Rattus norvegicus: one gene and its partners. Each later gene encodes a partner of the first gene's protein in a complex. Links are inferred from orthologs where the notes say so. Each region holds a gene or a part of one and is shown in the gene's direction. Other genes may lie near its edges.

The links.
Region 2: Ercc3 (region 1) and Gtf2f2 share a complex: the UniProt entries of both Homo sapiens proteins name them as parts of the TBP-based Pol II pre-initiation complex. The link is inferred for Rattus norvegicus from reciprocal best matches to the Homo sapiens genes ERCC3 and GTF2F2.
Region 3: Ercc3 (region 1) and Polr2k share a complex: the UniProt entries of both Homo sapiens proteins name them as parts of the TBP-based Pol II pre-initiation complex. The link is inferred for Rattus norvegicus from reciprocal best matches to the Homo sapiens genes ERCC3 and POLR2K.

The regions. Positions count from the first base shown.
Region 1 is NC_086036.1:24,183,591-24,190,037, forward strand, and holds the end of Ercc3 (general transcription and DNA repair factor IIH helicase subunit XPB), read left to right. Parts: intron 1-306; coding exon 307-459; intron 460-4,592; coding exon 4,593-4,724; 3' UTR 4,725-4,953; downstream 4,954-6,447. UniProt on the Homo sapiens protein: ATP-dependent 3'-5' DNA helicase/translocase. Binds dsDNA rather than ssDNA, unzipping it in a translocase rather than classical helicase activity. Component of the general transcription and DNA repair factor IIH (TFIIH) core complex.
Region 2 is NC_086033.1:57,626,622-57,632,218, reverse strand, and holds part of Gtf2f2 (general transcription factor IIF subunit 2), read left to right. Parts: exon of another isoform or gene 1-2,365; coding exon 2,366-2,509; exon of another isoform or gene 2,510-5,597. UniProt on the Homo sapiens protein: TFIIF is a general transcription initiation factor that binds to RNA polymerase II and helps to recruit it to the initiation complex in collaboration with TFIIB.
Region 3 is NC_086025.1:69,238,918-69,245,464, forward strand, and holds Polr2k (DNA-directed RNA polymerases I, II, and III subunit RPABC4), read left to right. Parts: upstream 1-2,315; 5' UTR 2,316-2,398; intron 2,399-3,102; 5' UTR 3,103-3,111; coding exon 3,112-3,172; intron 3,173-3,509; coding exon 3,510-3,602; intron 3,603-5,404; coding exon 5,405-5,427; 3' UTR 5,428-5,662; downstream 5,663-6,547. UniProt on the Homo sapiens protein: DNA-dependent RNA polymerase catalyzes the transcription of DNA into RNA using the four ribonucleoside triphosphates as substrates.

The DNA.
Region 1 (6,447 bases):
CCTTGTTCAGTAAATTCTTGATTTCTTGCATGAATACAGTATTCCTTGCTGGAAGCCCAAGATGTCAGGTAGTGTGTTGGAGTGCCCCCGTGTATGCTTTTGTGTGTTTTCCTTCCTCGCCAGTGCAATTATAAAGATCTGAGGAGTTTTTTAACCCACAGATTGCTCTTCTGATGTGCTTATGCAGAGGTTAGAGCTGGTAGTCAGGCTCTGGGTGGACCAGTGAGGGTGGGAAGAGGTGACTGGGAGCAGGTGCTGTGGGGATTTGGAGGCGGGAACAGGCTTTGTTTACCATTGTTCTTGTAGGTAATCACAAAGCTAGCCGGCATGGAGGAAGAGGAGCTGGCATTCTCCACCAAAGAGGAGCAGCAGCAGCTCCTGCAGAAGGTCCTGGCAGCCACTGACCTGGACGCAGAGGAGGAAGTGGTGGCTGGAGAGTTTGGCTCTAGATCTGGCCAGGTGGGTGAAGAGAGAGGTTCTCCTGTAGGACACCCACTGTATGTGAGCACATGTATACAGACATTCCATACGCATGTGTGTGCAAACACACACACACACACACACACACACACACACACACACACACACACACAAGCCTATCAGCATGCAAGCAAGTAGGATTAGAGGAAAACTGAAATTTTTTGAAGAAACAACACTGTTATCTTTGAGCGTGGGTTTCTTATAAATGTGTTGTAAGGCAGAGGGCTCACAGTGACAGTGACTGGGGTCATGCTTGTCCATAATGACAGCCTGCTAATGTTGGGGCCAAGGATGAGAGCCCTGTAGGCTCTGGTACTAGTAGGTGCTTTATCTGTTGGTCTGGGGTTAGCTGGCTCACCCTGCTTTCCTCCTCCGTAAGAGGGCTCAGCCGTCAAGATGAGTCTGTTGATGAACTCAAAAAGTTGAACTATGCTGCTTTCTAAAAAGACCCAGCATTTCACCTGTCTTTACTGAAGGCCTGTGTGCCCCAGGCATGACCATGTAGTGTGATCAGCGAAGGCATCATAAGGAGATTATGATTATCACCCTTCAAGGAGAGAAGTGAAATTGAGTCAGGGGTTCCGAGGATTCAGTTTCTGAAATTCAGTGGTGTGAAAGCTGAAAGGCGATCATTAGCTAGAACAAGACAGGAAGGAAGCAACATTTGCCACTTGGGCAGGTGCCAGTACCCTCCAGTCAAGGCCATTCTCTTGCTAGGTCATCTGCACGTTGGTCCAGGGGTGCCAAGGTGACCTTTACTGCTGTTGGATCAGTCCTCTGAGATCAGGCTATGACCTGGCATCCGTCAGGTGCCCATTTTCCCTGACATCTGTCTGGTTCAGGTGCAAACTGCTCTGGGCCAGACTCCTGGCTTCGGGGTACTGTTCATACCCATCTCCGGCTTTGTTTTGTTTTGCCTGAGATGGGTGCTACTGTGTAACTGGCAGGTCTGGAACTCAGGTCCTCCTGCCTCTGCATCCTGCCTTTTCCTGCCTCTCCTGCTTCTCCTGCTTCTCCTGCCTCTGCCTCTCCTGCCTTTCCTGCCTCTCCTGCCTCTCCTGCCTCTCCTGCTTCTCCTGCCTCTGCCTCTGCCTCTGCCTCTCCCTCTCCTGCCTCTCCTGCCTCTCCTGCCTTTCCTGCCTCTGCCTCTGCCTCTCCTGCCTCTCCTGCCTCTCCTGCCTCTAAGACTGGGATTAAAGGTGTTCACTTTGCTCCCAGCTCCATATCCACCTTTGGAGCAGACTTGACCATGCCCTGTTACATACACTCAAAACTTGCTCATGGCTTTGGATCTGAGTCAAGCCAGGGTTTTCTGGGTCTCCCATTGTTAAGTCTTAGGAGATTTAAAGAGACTCCCACCCCAACTTTTTTTTTTAATTATTTTTTTATATGTATGGGTGCTTGTGCCTCTACACCACATGTGTGCCTGGTACCCACACAGGCCGGAAGGATGCTTCAGATCCTTGGAACTGGAGTTGCAGATGGTTGTGAGTTGCTAGAATTCAAATCTCAGTCTTCTGGAAGGGTAGCCAGTGTTCTTAACTGCTGAGCCACCTCTTCAGCTCCAGTCTATCCTAATAACAATTAAAAAAATTATTTATTTATTTTATGTATATGAGTACACTGTAGCTGTCTTCAGACACACCAGAAGAGAGCATCGGATCCTATTACAGGTGGTTGTGAGCCACCATGTGGGTGCTGAGAATTGAACTCAGGACCTCTGGAAGAGCAGTCAGTGCTCTTAACCACTGAGCCATCTCTCCAGCCCCCCCCAATAACTCTTAAGAAAGATTTTGCGGGGTTGGGGATTTAGCTCAGTGGTAGAGCACTTGCCTAGAAAGCGCAAGGCCCTGGGTTCGGTCCCCAGCTCCGAAAAAAAGAACAACAACAACAACAACAACAAAAAAAAAAAAAAAAAAAAAAAGAAAGATTTTGTAGGGGCTGAGTCTGCCTTGCATGTGCAGTACCAAGCCCTGGCTTCTTACCTCAGAACTACAAAAGAGAGAATATGTTCTCTTAGGCAGTTGTCATCAAGGGAGACCTGTGCTGGCTGTTACAGCGGAGTGCCTGGGCCATGTTCTAGTCCTGTTTTCCTTGAGATCTCAAGCAGGCTCAAGCCATGTTCTTGTGCCTCAGTTTCCTGTTTTGTAGGTTAAGATTATAGTTGTTGTGAGGATCAGGGGAGGTAGTATATATGCAGTATATATGAAAGTGGCCAGAAAGATATTTTAAATTTAACTTGTATATGTGTGTGCATACATGTGTGCATACGTGTGTGTGTGTGTGTGTGTGTGTGTGTGTGTGTCAGAGGGCACGGCTGTGGAAGTCACGACAGCTTGGTGGAGTGCTTTCTCTCCTTACACCTTTTGTGGGTTCTGGGCTCAAGCTCCAGTTGCTGTGCTTGCATTGCAAGTACAACTCAGCTGTCCAAAAAGTCTTATGTTTTTTAAATTTATTTATTTGTATTTGACGTGCATTGGTGTTTTGTCTGCATTCATGTATGTGTGAGAGTGTTGGGTTCCCGGGAACTGGTGTTACAGACAGTTCTGAGCTGCCATGCTCTTAACAGCCAGGCCATCTCGCCAGCCTGAGAGTTGTTTAAAAACAGTTCATCGCATGGCTGGGCTAGCTTGGTGGTAGAGGGCTTGCCTAGCATGTGCAAGACCCTGGGTTCAGACCCTGCAGCACAAATTTTTTTTTTTTTTTGGTGGAAGTATCAGATTTTTATTACTATGGCTCGTAGTATAATTAAAATTAGGAGTAATGATATCTACTACTAACATTTATTTTTTTAAGATTTCATTAGCTTCCTATGGTCTTTTATGTTTCGTATATGAACTTTAAGAATTTTATTTTTTTTTATCTTTATTAACTTGAGTATTTCTTATTTACATTTCTATTGTTATTACCTTTCCCAGTTTCCAGGCCAACATCCTCCTAGCCCCTCCCCCCTCCCCTTCCTTATGGGTGTTCCCCTCCCAACCCTCCCCCCATTGCCGCCCTCCCCCCATCAGTCTAGTTCACTGGGGGTTCAGTCTTAGCAGGACCCAGGGCTTCCCCTTCCACTGGTGCTCTTACTAGGATATTCATTGCTACCTATGAGGTCAGAGTCCAGGGTCAGTCCATGTATAGTCTTTAGGTAGTGGCTTAGTCCCTGGAAGCTCTGGTTGCTTGGCATTGTTGTACATATGGGGTCTCGAGCCCCTTCAAGCTCTTCCAGTTCTTTCTCTGATTCCTTCAACGGGGGTCCTGTTCTCAGGTCAGTGGTTTGCTGCTGGCATTCGCCTCTGTATTTGCTGTATTCTGGCTGTGTCTCTCAGGAGCGATCTACATCCGGCTCCTGTCGGTCTGCACGTCTTTGCTTCATCCATCTTGTCTAATTGGATGGCTGTATATGTATGGGCCACATGTGGGGCAGGCTCTGAATGGGTGTTCCTTCTGTGTCTGTTTTAATCTTTGCCTCTCTATTCCCTGCCAAGGGTATTCTTGTCCCCCCCCCCTTTTTTTTTCCTTCTTTTTTTCGGAGCTGGGGACCGAACCCAGGGCCTTGTGCTTGCTAGGCAAGTGCTCTACCACTGAGCTAAATCCCCAACCCCTCTTGTTCCCCTTTTAAAGAAGGAGTGAAGCATTCACATTTTGATCATCGTCTTGAGTTTCATTTGTTCTAGGCATCTAGGGCAATTCAAGCATTTGGGCTAATAGCCACTTATCAATGAGTGCATCATACCATGTGTGTTTTTCTGTGATTGGGTTACCTCACTCAGGATAATATTTTCCAGTTCCCTCCATTTGCCTATGAATTTCATAAAGGCATTGTTTTTGATAGCTGAGTAATATTCCATTGTGTACATGTACCACATTTTCTGTATCCATTCCTCTGTTGAAGGGCATCTGGGTTCTTTCCAGCTTCTGGCTATTATAAATAAGGCTGCGATGAACATAGTGGAGCACGTGTCTTTTTTATATGTTGGGGCATCTTTTGGGTATAGCAGCACACATTTGTAAACACACACGCGCGCACACACACACACACATTCTGAATTTGAGTATGAGTGTTGTAAGAGGTTCCTTTGGAGATTAACCTTAGCCTGGCTTCTGCCTTTCCCCCACAGGCATCCCGGCGCTTTGGCACCATGAGCTCTCTGTCCGGGGCAGACGATACTGTGTATATGGAGTACCACTCCTCCCGAAACAAAGCCTCCACCAAGCACGTGCACCCACTTTTCAAACGCTTCAGGAAGTGACATCCACCCTGTACTCAGTTGAAGATTGACTGCCTGGATCAGAGTTGAAAACAGAGACTTCTCAGTGTGATCGTTTCTCTCCAAGACTGTAATGTCCTCTTGGTCTAATGTGTTGACTGACTGTGCTGAGAGCCAGTGGGTTCCAGACTTAAAGGAAAGAAAGGCTGCTGTTGTGTTTTATACTTGTTGAGAGTGGATCATTTCTGTATATAAAAATTATACCACTTAAGGCACATTTGTCTTTATTTTATTGAATGAACTGAAAAATGGAGTTTGGGCAGCTCTGGAGCTTCAAACGAGAAGTAGGTACCTGCTTCCCTCCTTCCCCAAGACAGTGTCCACTTGATGAGCAGCTTCCCCTGTCCCTGGACACAGTGTCCACTTGATGAGCACTTGCAAATGAAGTTTAGTTTTCTCCAAGGAGAGGCTCACTGGGGAAACAACTACTCTTAGGTAGGCTTCATGGCCACAGGACACCCACAGGACACAAACCCAGTGCTCTGTTTGAAGGTTCCTTGTCTTATAATGTCCTGTCAGAGCTCCCCCTCTTTCTAAAAGTCTGTCTTAGTATCTACTTCTTATTTTATATTTTTCTCACTTTTACCCTACAGGTCCTCTGTGTGTATATCGTGGCTTCTGGTTTACTGTTTTTTATGAGATCCCTGGGGGTGACCAAGCTGGTCTTGTGTCTTCTCTTCAGCTCTCTTCCTGGTATTTGTTTTGTCTTATATTGTATTATTTAGAAATGGAATTTGGGCTGTGTATTACTAAGTTAGCTTACTTTGAAATGTTACTAACCTGGGAGGTTTCAGTATTTTACCTGTGAGGCTGAGAACTGGTTGGTCACTCTGTCTGTGAGGCTGGCTGCTTTAGCAGTCTCAGTCTGGATCCAAGTATGGAAAGGTCCTGGAGACAGCTGCTCCTTAGGGATGGAAGCCTGGAAAAGAATCGCATCTGAGAGCAGCAAAGAGATCACGGCAACGGGATAAAGAAGGCTGACGTCAGGAGGGACGGCCACGCCAGCAAAAGGTGGGTGATCCTCTCTACGCCAGCCACCCCCTCTTTGAGATCTAGGCCCATGGCAGATGCCACATGTGGAGTGGCTGTCGAGGCGGTCGTGTGCAATTCTCTGCACAGGTCATTGTATTCTGAGGCAAGCAGATGATAAAACCGGCTATGCGTGCTTGGTATCGATCATGGATCTAAAGTCATCTGGGAGACACACCCGCAGGCAGACCGGTCTATGAAGGCGTTTCTAGACGAGGAGAACTGAGGTGGGAAGGCCCAGCCAACACGTGGCACGATCGTCTGGGCTAGAACACGAAGGAAGAAAGCTGAGGACCAGCATTCCTGGACCCTGACTGACTGTACTGTGAACAGCCTCCCCGGGTCCTGCCGCTATTACTGATGCACTCTGAAGCTGGAGCCAAAGTAAAGCCCTTATTTTATTATTTTGTCACAGCAATGAGAAAAACCACTAACACAGTCCCTGACACCTGAGGCCTGTGTCGTTACACCAGGGGCTGCTACTTACTGGGGTACCTGCCGTGCGCTGCTCCAGTTCAGTGGCCAAATGCCGAGGGTCCCAAAAGCTGCCAGGCGCCAGGCAGGTCGGAGTTCCCACCTCTGTGTCATTTCTATTCCGAGGTGTATAAATGTGATGTCACACGTCTTTCCTGTCACTCCACTTTTATTTATTTATTTTTTGAGACAGGATCTCTCA
Region 2 (5,597 bases), on another chromosome or scaffold:
GATTATAGGCCTTGCCTCACTGAGAAAAATCTTGAGGCCGGCTGCAGTTTTCCTCCACAAAGGTTTCATCGCTGGCATGCAGCTGGAGGTTCTTGTCTCCATTGTGAGCTTGTCCTAGGACGTTCAGAGAACATAAGCCTCTTCCTCAGTCTGGGGTTCACAGCGTAGTTCATTGTTAGCTCTGAAGTTCGAGTGCAGTTCTAGAGCCGTTCTCACACTACAGCCATCCCCATGTGCAGGCCTTGCTCTCTGCTGGCCTCTCCCAGGCCACCAAGGCTTTCATTTCCCAGGGAGCTTTGAGACTGACCCTCCTCCAGCAAATCACTCTTTCAATCAAAAGTTAATAGTAATAAACTTAACCAACTGAAGTACATAAATAGAAGCTGTGTATTTTCTCCCTTTTTTATGTGTGTGTACACACACGTGCAAGCACATATTTGTGGAGGCCACCGAACCATAAACTGCCTTTTTTACCTTTTCTTTTTCTTCCTTTGAGACAAGGTTTCTCACTGGCATGGAGCGCTTCAGAAGCTCAGGTATCTGCCCTCCCAACCCTGGGATTACGAGTACTCCCTACGCTGTATGTCTTTTTACCTGCTTCTGGGGGTGGAACTCAGGCTCTCCTGCATTTGCCAACTGAACTATCTTCCCGGTTTTCAGTGCAAAGATCATTTTCTACAAGTGATTAATACCAGGAGGATAACAATGGCATCAAACTACTTTTCAAATTTTATTGACATTTGTTAATTGTACAAAACACTAGGTTTCGTGACAACGTTTCATATATGTCTGGTACATGTTGATCATCTCAAGCCCCTTTTAACATACCCTGCTCCCTCTCCTCCTCCCCTTCATCTACCTTCAGCGCTCCTACTTCCGTGTATTATCTCTAGCTTCCTTTTTTCTGTTGATTGTTGTTGTTATTGTTATTATTACTACTACTACATGTTGTCTTAGGGCTACTGTTGCTGTGATGAAACACCATGATCAAAGCAACTTGGGGAGGAAAGGGTTTATTTGGTTTGTACTTCTGTATTACTGTCATTATTGAAGGAAGTCAGGACAGGAACTCAAACAGGGCAGGATCCTAGAGGCAGGAGCTGATGGAGAAGTCATGGAACCCAGGACCACCAGCCCAGGGATGGCCCCATCCTTCTCAACTTAAGTTCAGATAACTTGGGTTTAAGGTCAGGTTGGCACCAAACGAATGTGTGTGTGTGTGTGTGTGTGTGTGTGTGTGTGTACATACATCCCAGCTACTGGGTTCGTCTAGTGTTGCTCTTATATAGAACACTGACCACTTGTATTGGATAACCAACCGGTTAGGGGCTCATCCCTGAGGAGGATGTGACTCTGTGTCTCCACGGTCCTCAGTTGCTGTGACCCTTCATGTAGAGGCAGGACTTGGAGATTCCCCATTCGAGCTGCATGTAGGCTGTCATTCAGGTTTTGGTTAGGCAACTCTATATAGTGCTGCAGTTAATGAGTGCAGCTTCTCTGTCACATACAGAAGATACTGTCTCACGTCAGATGTCCTGATCCTGTGGCTTTTCATGGTCTTTCCACTCCCTCCTCTGCCATGTTCCTGGGTTGTGTTGTGAATATATCTGTTGGTGATAGGCATCCCAAGGCCAGTTGTTCTCCAGTTTTGGCCATTTGTAGCTTTTTGTAATGTTCTCCATCTGCCTCAAAAAGAAGCTTCGCTTGTGAGAGCTGAGAGTTGCTTCCCATTCTGATGTGTGTGAAGATGATGTCTTGATTTTATTTGAATAAGAAGTACTTTTATGGTAAAAATTAGAGAATATTATACATGGAAACTTCGAGGACACCTGATGTGAGATAAAATGAAAATGTAGAAAAAATAATTTACTGGCATCAGCGCTGAGTGTATCTACCTTTCTTGTTGCGGAACCTACTTCTATGTACAGTGGTAAAGCATGGGCTGAGAGAGGAGGAGGCTGACTTTGCTCCTCTGCTCTTCACTAGTGCTCCCCAGACTTCCCAGTTGAACCTGCGCTGGAACAAGCTTGTGCCCTAAACTCCTAGAGCATGCAGTTTAATTCATAAACATATCTCACTGTACCTTGATTAATCAAAAACTAAGGAACTGCATGTTAGCTTCTGGGCTAACCAGGAAGAAACCCTCCTTGGGGAGAAATGAATGTGTTACATAAAGCTTCACAAGAGACTGAAAGTGGTTTACAGACCTCTGTTACAACTGTCCTGAACCTGAAAGGTAATGGGAGTCCCTGCCAGAGGCCTGATGGTGTGAGACTTTAAGTGAGGTTTCAGGTGACTCAGACTATTTCCAAATGATTTCTTTCCAGATGCTGAGTTGATACCTTTCTTTTGTTTTTGCCTACAGATTGAATATGAAAGGAAGAAGAAAGAAGATGGAAAGCGAGCTCGGGCAGACAAACAACACGTCCTAGACATGCTGTTCTCAGCCTTTGAGAAACATCAGTACTATAATCTTAAGGACTTGGTGGACATCACAAAGCAACCTGTGGTATGTATACATTTCTAGTGATCTTTAAGTATACCAGACTTTATTAGCATATCACTAGTGAGGAGAAACGTGATCAGGTTCACATTCACTCTGCTAATGACAGAGTTTATGTCAACAATCAGAAAACAGATTTTTTTTTTCCCCCAGAGCTGGGGACCGAACCCAGGGCCTTGTGCTTGCTAGGCAAGCGCTCTACCACTGAGCTAAATCCCCAAGCCCCAGAAAACAGATCTTAACATAGCTTTATCTTTCGAACATCCACTTCATTACTTTAGATTTAAAATACATGTAAGAGCTATTAAAATGGCTCAATTTGTAAAGGCACTCGGTTCAAATGCTGATGATGCCCAGAGCTTTCTGTGGAAGCAGTAAACCCACTCCTGGAAATTGTCTTCTGACTGCTACACACACAGCCAGGCACTTATGTGTGCGAGCATGTTTGCACACATGATAATGTTAGAGCCTGGAGAGGTGGTTCAGTGGTTAAGAGACTAGTTGCGGGGCTGGGGAGTTAGCTCAGTGGTAGAGCGCTTGCCTAGGAAGCACAAGGCCCTGGGTTCGGTCCCCAGCTCCGAAAAAAAGACCAAAAAAAAAAAAAAAAGAGAGAGACTAGTTGCTCTTCTAGAGGACTCAGATTTGACTCCTTGCACTCACTATCTTAACATCAATCTGAGATCTGTTAAGCAATTTGCAGTCTTTTTAATTTTTGCTAAAATGCCCATGATTCAGTATTCGCGATTCAGCTAATGACTTAATTCCCTTTGGCAGTACAGCCTGAGAAACAGCATCCATGCTAGATTAAAATATTTTTAAAGAATACTTTGTTAACAAGCTGTATTTCTTCTGGTTATAATGAAGTCTACCTTTTGTTATTTTGTATGTAAATATGCCTACAGGAAAGACTTTCCCAGACAATGAGCGCAGATGATGTATTCCTACAGAATGAAATGTACACACAGTTAGACAGGGAAGTAGGCAGAGTAGAGAGGGGGGCATTCTAGTAATGGTAGGGAAGCAAGTTCCTCAGTCCTTGTTCTTAACACAGGGTATTGGGCTTATTTGCTTCACATTGAAGGAAGGGGTTTATTAAAATGTCTATCTGGAGTAGATAGGTACTCAGGGGCTCCAATAAAAAGATCCCAAAATCAAGGCCAGGGTGGAGTATATAATACATATGTGGTCTGTCCCCAAAAACTGATTCAGTTCAGACTGTTGTTGCTGCTACTTCACTTCACTCTTTGTGTGGGGATGTTTTGCCTGCATGTGTGTCTGTGCCTGGGGAGGCCAGAAAAGAATATTGGATGCTGGGAATTGAACCCAGGTCCTATGAAAGAGAAGCCAGTGCTCTTAAACACTGAGCTAACTCTCCAGCCCTGGTCAGATAATTATTATGTTGTGGTACTTAGTGAGGTTTTTGTACTAGATCTTCTTCACTAATGATCTAGAGTGGACCTCAGGCGATCTAACTTAATGAGTGTGTGCAGACATAGATTTTCCAGAGAACAGATGGTAGCTTGTATCAAATTCTTGTCTGATGTGGAAAGGAAGTCTGCTGTATGAGAGAGTCATTTAGAGGCCACACTACCTCAGCAGCCAGATCCTTTTTGGAGAGGAGGTCTTGTCATGTACCTACTGACACTTGCCCTTTTGCCCAGACTAGCCTCAAGTTCCTGTGTCTCCTCCCTTGGCCTTCTGAGGGCAGGTTTGTGCCAGCTCTGCTTCTTCACCCACAGCAAATCCTTGACAGTATTGCCACGCCATTACTCTGCACACTACCCTTTCCAGTGCCACTGTTCTCACACTCACACACCTCCCCTTACCCTCTCTCCTCTCCTACCTCTCTCCCGCCCCTCTCCATCTCTTACACATCCCATCCCGTGCTGCTCTGAATTGGAATGGCCCCCATAGACTCAGGTACATAAGTGCTTGGTCCATAGGAGGTGGCACTATTAGGTGTCCTTTTTGAAGGAAGGGTGTCACTGTGGGGCAGGCTTTGAGGTCTCAGATGCTCAAGCCAGGCTTGGTGTAGCACACAGTCTCCTGCTGCTGCCTGCAGATCAAGATGTACAACTATTAACTCCTTTTTCAGCACCATGTCTGCCTCATTCTGCCATGCTTCCTGCTGTGACATTAATGGACTAAACTTCTGAACTGGTAGCCAGCCCCAATTAAATATTGTCTTTTATAAGAGTTGTCTTGGTCATGGTGTCTCCTCAGAGCAAAAAAAAAAAAAAAAAAAAAAAAAAAAAAAAAAAAAAAAAAACTAAAACACACCCCCCCACCCCACTTTCTTGCCATCTTGCTGCCTCACTTATATACATACCTAACTTGCCATCAGACTCCAAGTCTTCTATCACAGCTCTGCAGTTCTGGGGCTACTACCATACTCACCTCTAGTAGTCTTCTCTTTTTTTCTGTTCTATTTTCTTGCTAAAAACTTTCATTTCTGCAAGCAAATTTGCTTATCATGGAAACTACCCTAGGGTGCTCTTTCTGACATATATCATAATATATAGCTTACGTAGATAACCAGAACAGTAGAAGTTTCTCAAAAGTTAAGCCACTTTGAAAAGGTCAAACTTTATAACCTGATACAAAGTCAGGAATTTGATATCCCTTAAACTGGATGTTTGTATGTGATTCAGTTTTTAGCTTTTTTTTTACTCTCTTTAAAATGTGAAACATTTGGGGGTTGTAGGGATGGCTTCGTGGTTAGAGTGCTAGCTGTTCTTCCAGGGGACCAAGGTTTGATTCCCATTACCACATGACATCACATAACCATCTAGAACATGGGGATCCAGTGTTCTCATCTGGCTCTCATGGGTACCAGATATGCACAGACAGGCAGGCAGGCAGGCAGGCAGACCACTCACCTACATGTAATAAAATAATAATTTAAAAGTGATAATAAAAATAAAATATGAAACATCAGAGGAAACCTGTTATTTCTCCCCAGGACTTGGTGAAGTTTAGCATTTGCTGTGCTTTGTCTAGTATTCCTCCATGTATAGAAACACACATAACATTTCCTTTAAAAATGCAAGCCATCGAAAAGTTAAATAGTACCCTTGAAACATGAAACTGCCGA
Region 3 (6,547 bases), on another chromosome or scaffold:
TCCCCTCCCAACCCTCCCCCCATTGCCGCCCTCCCCCCATAGACTAGTTCACTGGGGGTTCAGTCTTAGCAGGACCCAGGGCTTCCCCTTCCACTGGTGCTCTTACTAGGATATTCATTGCTACCTATGGGGTCAGAGTCCAGGGTCAGTCCATGTATAGTCTCTAGGTAGTGGCTTAGTCCCTGGAAGCTCTGGTTGCTTGGCATTGTTGTACTTTTGGGGTCTCGAGCCCCTTCAAGCTCTTCCAGTTCTTTCTCTGATTCCTTCAATAGGGGACCTATTCTCAGTTCAGTGGTTTGCTGCTGGCATTCGCCTCTGTATTTGCTGTATTCTGGCTGTGTCTCTCAGGAGCGATCTACATCCGGCTCCTGTCGGTCTGCACTTCTTTGCTTCATCCATCTTGTCTAATTGGGTGGCTGTATATGTATGGGCCACATGTGGGGCAGGCTCTGAATGGGTGTTCCTTCAGTCTCTGTTTTAATCTTTGCCTCTCCCTTCCCTGCCAAGGGTATTCTTTTTCCTCATTTAAAGAAGGAGTGAAGCATTCACATTTTGATCATCCGTCTTGAGTTTCGTTTGTTCTAGGGATCTAGGGTAATTCAAGCATTTGGGCTAATAGCCACTTATCAATGAGTGCATACCATGTATGTCTTTCTGTGATTGGGTTAGCTCACTCAGGATGATATTTTCCAGTTCCAACCATTTGCCTACGAATTTCATAAACTCGTTGTTTTTGATAGCTGAGTAATATTCCATTGTGTAGATGTACCACATTTTCTGTATCCATTCCTCTGTTGAAGGGCATCTGGATTCTTTCCATTTTCTGGCTATTATAAATAAGGCTGCGATGAACATAGTGGAGCACGTGTCTCTTTTATATGTTGAGGCATCTTTTGGGTATATGCCCAAGAGAGGTATAGCTGGATCCTCAGGCAGTTCAATGTCCAATTTTCTGAGGAACCTCCAGACTGATTTCCAGAATGGTTTTACCAGTCTGCAATCCCACCAACAATGGAGGAGTGTTCCTCTTTCTCCACATCCTCGCCAGCATCTGCTGTCACCTGAGTTTTTGATCTTAGCCATTCTCACTGGTGTGAGGTGAAATCTCAGGGTTGTTTTGATTTGCATTTCCCTTATGACTAAAGATGTTGAACATTTCTTTAGGTGTTTCTCAACCATTCGGCATTCCTCAGCTGTGAATTCTTTGTTTAGCTCTGAACCCCATTTTTAAATAGGGTTATTTGTTTCCCTGCAGTCTAACTTCTTGAGTTCTTTGTATATTTTGGATATAAGGCCTCTATCTGTTGTAGGATTGGTAAAGATCTTTTCCCAATCTGTTGGTTGCCGTTTTGTCCTAACCACAGTGTCCTTTGCCTTACAGAAGCTTTGCAGTTTTATGAGATCCCATTTGTCGATTCTTGATCTTAGAGCATAAGCCATTGGTGTTTTGTTCAGGAAATTTTTTCCAGTGCCCATGTGTTCCAGATGCTTCCCTAGTTTTTCTTCTATTAGTTTGTCCACTCTATTTTTAAAATAAATGGTGTGAAATAATTGAGTGTAAACGTCCTGAACCCAACAGATTTTTACTGAGTTAAAAGTTTGATCTGTGAGAACACATACCACCTGTACTCTATTGAATTGATCAAACACAAGAGGGAGAATACTACGAGAAAAGCTAAAGCCACCAACTAGTGGAAGTAATTGATGGAGTTGTCCTTGTGAAAACCTTAGTTGTGAAAACCTTGGCTTCAAAAAGGAAGATGGGCAGGCGTTGTGATTTGCGCAATTAATTTCAGCATTGAGGCGGCGAAGGTAGAGAACTGCGCCGGTTTAAGAGCAAGCTCAGCCTGGGCTACATAGACTATCAAGCCTCGGGCTTCCCCTATCATTCCATTCCCCAACATAAAATAGAAGAGAGGTGACAAGAAACTAAGAAAACTGGAATTTGAAAACAACAAACAAACAAAAACCTGCATGGGTATTGAACAATTTGAAAACCGTGATATTGGGAAGTGAAGTGTTGGTAGGGTGGCCTGCTGGTGTTCGCCCAAGCAATGGCTGGGTTAAGATTCCAGCAGCACCTGTTTTGGCTTCCTGCTCTATCTGCCGTTACACAAGCACAGACTCTCGAACGCCGAGCTGTGGGAATGTTTTGCTACCCTGGAGAGAGGGGCAAATCAAAACAAAATCCTACAGGAATTAAGGAGAGAAACACTATAAACCAGTCCCCAACAAGCGCCCTAGTTCTTCGGTACTGCCAGGCAGAAAGGGACAGGGCTTTTGCGTCATAAGTCAGCGCCGGAAGTTGGCGAAGCAGCGCCGGTAGTGTCTCTTGCTTCTAAGAGCCGGAGAAAGCGTTTGCGTGCACAGAGGAGGGACGCTTTCCGGAGCTGCGGAGGTAAGGGATCGGCGGGTGATTTGGGAGGTAAATTGGAGGCAAAACTAGGAGAGACACCTGGCTTTAAAATATCCCTGGACGACCGAGAGCGGTAGCACACGCCTGCCATCTGAGCGCTTGGGAAGCAGAGGTAGGAGAATTCTGCCATCAACAAGCACCTTGACTTTCAATCTAAGGCTACAAAGTGAGTTCTCGGCTAACCTGAATTACAAAGTGAAGACTCTCAAAGCCTTCTTAAAGAACCAAATGCGAAAATAAAGATCCCCGGTGGAGTTAATGTTGAGACAAGCTTTGACGGAGCTACTGCTCCCAGCTCAAATCGGAATTCCTTTGCGGAGTGATACTGGACAAACCAACATGTCCTTAGCCTCCGTTTCTTCGTGTGTAATACCCTCTAGGATCCTGAAGAGTAATAAACATTCATAATGTATTTACTATTGTTGAAAATGTGCTGTATCCTTCAGACCCAGCCCACATCACTGTTTAGGGGAAGTAGATAATTACTTTTTTTTTTTTTTTAATTTCCCCATCCGTAATATTGGGTATTGATTCTTGGGCTTCTGCACACTAGGCAAACATTCTACTGAGGTTTTCCTCTTTGGTCGGAAAATCAGAACCTCGTATAGCTTCTGAGAAAAAGATAAATCAAATGGGGCATGTTTTGTGCGAAGGCCCTGTTACTCAGTCTTTGGCTCTCATTTCAGGCACGAACAATGGACACCCAGAAAGATGTTCAACCACCAAAGCAGCAGCCAATGATATATATTTGTGGAGGTAAGATTAACATTTAAATAATGCTTTACTTAGGAACGCCCCCCCCTCCCATTAAAAAGAATCCTTCCATACATGAGTACAAATCTTTAAAATTATAACGTGGAGCACTTTAGCGATTGTTAATTTTAAAATCCCTCTACCTTATTAAGATTTCTTCCTTTTATCTGGAAAAGGTGTACTGCCTACAGCTCTTCTTTCTCCTTGGTCTGTTCAGTAATAAGAATGTACTTGGATGTTTTGGTGCCCTGGTTTCCTCCTGTTTTTAATATGTTGTTACTGTTTGCTTCCCTGGAGTGTTTCTCTTTCAGGCTTTGAATAAATGTGCTTTCTTTCCCAGAGTGTCACACCGAAAATGAAATAAAATCCAGGGATCCAATCAGATGCAGAGAATGTGGATACAGAATAATGTACAAGAAAAGGACTAAGAGATGTATCCTTTTAAGTATACTTTTTAAATGTGAAGAGGAAGTAACTAATACTTGGGTTGATAAAGACTAAGATCTGGGGCTGGAGAGATGGCTCAGTGGTTAAGAGCACTGACCACTCTTACAGAGGTCCTGAGTTCAAGTCCCAGCAACCACATGGTGGCTCAACCACCTAGTAATGGGATTTGATTCCTTCTGGTGTGTCTGAAGACAGTGACAGTGTACTCACATACATGAAATAAATAAATCTTTAAAAAAAAAAAGACTAAGATCTGATCAAAGTAGTAATAACTTTTGGATTATTTTTTAAGCAGAGTGCATGTGGACTTATTGAGAACTGAAAGAGTGGAGCCTCCACAGGAGGTATACCCAGATTAATTATTTTAATAGGATTTATTTTTCCCAAAACTTGTGGGGTAGAGACAGGCAGCTCCTTGTGAATTCCAGGCCAGTCTGGTCTACACTTAGGATTCCAGGCCAGCTAAAGCTACTTAGTGAGACCCAGTCTCAAAGGACCAACTAGGGGCCTGAGAGCTGGATCTGCAGGCAGGAGCATTGCTGCTTTTTCAGAGGGCCTTAGAACCAACATGATTGCTCACAATCACAGGTGGTCGGATAGGCCGACCTCTGACCTACCAGTGCGCGGGACCCAAATGGTACATACATGCATACAGGCAAAAGCACTTGTGCATAAAATAAACCTGAATAAAACAAATTTTAAAACCCAGTAAATACATTTTTAATTCATTTATTAAGGTTATCACTGGCCTTCCTAAACCTCTGTGGCCTTATACTGGCTAGTTTTGAAGGCCAACTTGACACAGGCTGGAGTTATCACAGAAAAGGAGCCTCAGTTGTGGAAATGCCTTCGGGAGACCCAGCTGTAAGGCATCTTCTCAACTAGTGATCAAGGAGGGAGGACCAAGCCCATTGTGGGTAGTGCCATCCCTGGGCTGGTGGTCCTGGGGTTCTATAAGAAAACCAGCTGAGCAAGCCACGGGAGGCAAGCCAGTAAGTAACATCCCTCCATGGCCTCTGCATCAGCTCCTGCTTCCTGACCTGCTCGAGTTCCAGTCCTGACTTCCTTTGGTGATGAAACAGCAATGTGACTGTGTAAGCTGGATAAACTCTTTCCTCCCCAACCTGCTTTGTGTCATGATGTTTGTGCAGGAACAGAAACCCTGACTAAGACAGGCCTCAAACTCAGAGATCCACCTATCCCCGCCCACCACCTCTACCCCCCAAATCCGGGATTAAAGACATGTACTCCCAAGGCCTGGCAGAGGTTTTTATATAAAGTAAATGTGATTAGCATTTTCATGTACCATTCATTATGGGCTTTCAGTAATATAAAAACTAGTTGATAAGTCTTTTTTACTTTTCAGGAAATCTTTGTTTTTAGTAATAGTCATTGTTGGTTATTAGTTTATGAACAATATAAAGTACGGAAGAAGAGATTAATAACAGTGGAAAATAGTGAGGCCTACAAATTGTTTCATGGTAACGGACACAAACTCTTAAAAGTCATCAATTGTTTCAGTGAGTTTTTTTAATTTGTGTTTATTTTTAATACTACTTATATTAATATATGTTACATTATTAATTTATATTATCTTGTATCCAAAAAAGTAAGCTACTGAACATGGCAGTAGTGTACTTTATTTTTTTAGATAATCTCTGATTATAGTGAACTTCATTCTTTTGTTCATTTTATATTCAATTGCAAGCTTGGTGCAGGGGGTAACTTGGAAGCCTTAGTCTTACACAATTTTAAGTACTGTTTAAAATCCTTAACTCAATTCAACAGTGGTGGTTTTTGATGCTCGATGAAACAGTGGAGTTGAGGAATGTCTTCATACATTTGCCTCGTTGATGTTTCTCTTTAATGTATAGCATTTAACTTAGCTTACTTAATGACTACAACTGTGTACCTATGATTTCATTTTAGAAATGCCAATTGTATTTTAATACTCTGTATAAAGGAAATTTCGGGTCAACATATGACTTAATTTATTGTCCTTGTAATTCCTCATACAGTGAAGATTAAAAGTGTTTCTCCAAACCACTTCAATCCAGTGTCTTGTTAAAAAGCCATCGAGCCAGGTGATTTGTGTTCAATGGGTCTGTCCTCTGACCTCCACGGGCACACGGAGACTCGGGCATGTGCTTGTGGTGCACCCACAGAGACAATTAACTAAAATAGAACATTGAAAATTCTGAATGCAGCTTTTTAGAACCCTTTTCTAAAGGTCTGAAGAGATATGTCCCTTGGGAACGACTGTACTTTGTCAACAACTCTAAACTCTCCAGAGTGCCACTGTACTTCCTGTCTGTAGAATTGTAAAAAGCCAAAAGGAAATAGACTTGGGCAGCGGGCAGAGGAGCGGCTCAACACTTGAGAGCACTTGCTGTACTTCCAAGGGCGTCTGGCTCTGTTTTCAAGCACCCGTTGTGTATATCCCAACAGACTGGAACTCCAGTCAGGGAACTGACACTGCCTTCTGGGTGTGTACACAGTCCACACAGACCCACACATAGACTATAAAAAGTGTTTCCTCAGTTATGTAGGTACACATATTCCTTAGACCACAGAGTTCTGGGAGTTGGGTGTAGTGGAGCCTGTCTAATCCCAGTGCTTGGGAGGTGGAGGCAGGAGGATTCAGAAGGTATTCAAGGGTTGTCTCTGGCTACATAACTAGTTTGAGGCTAAGAGTGATTGACTACTAGAGCAGCCGGTGCTCTCCCATGGTACTCTACTCTGTTGCTTTACTGTATGTCTAGGTTGGCTGTTTGAAGACGGGTCTTGACTCTGCAATCCTCCTGCTTCTGTCTCCTGTGTAACTGGGAGTGCAGGCCTACACTACCAGGCACAGCTTGAAATACTTTCTGCTGTTCAAGAGCTCTGTAAATTGAATAAACCTTGGCACCCCTTGTGACCCTTACTAGGCCT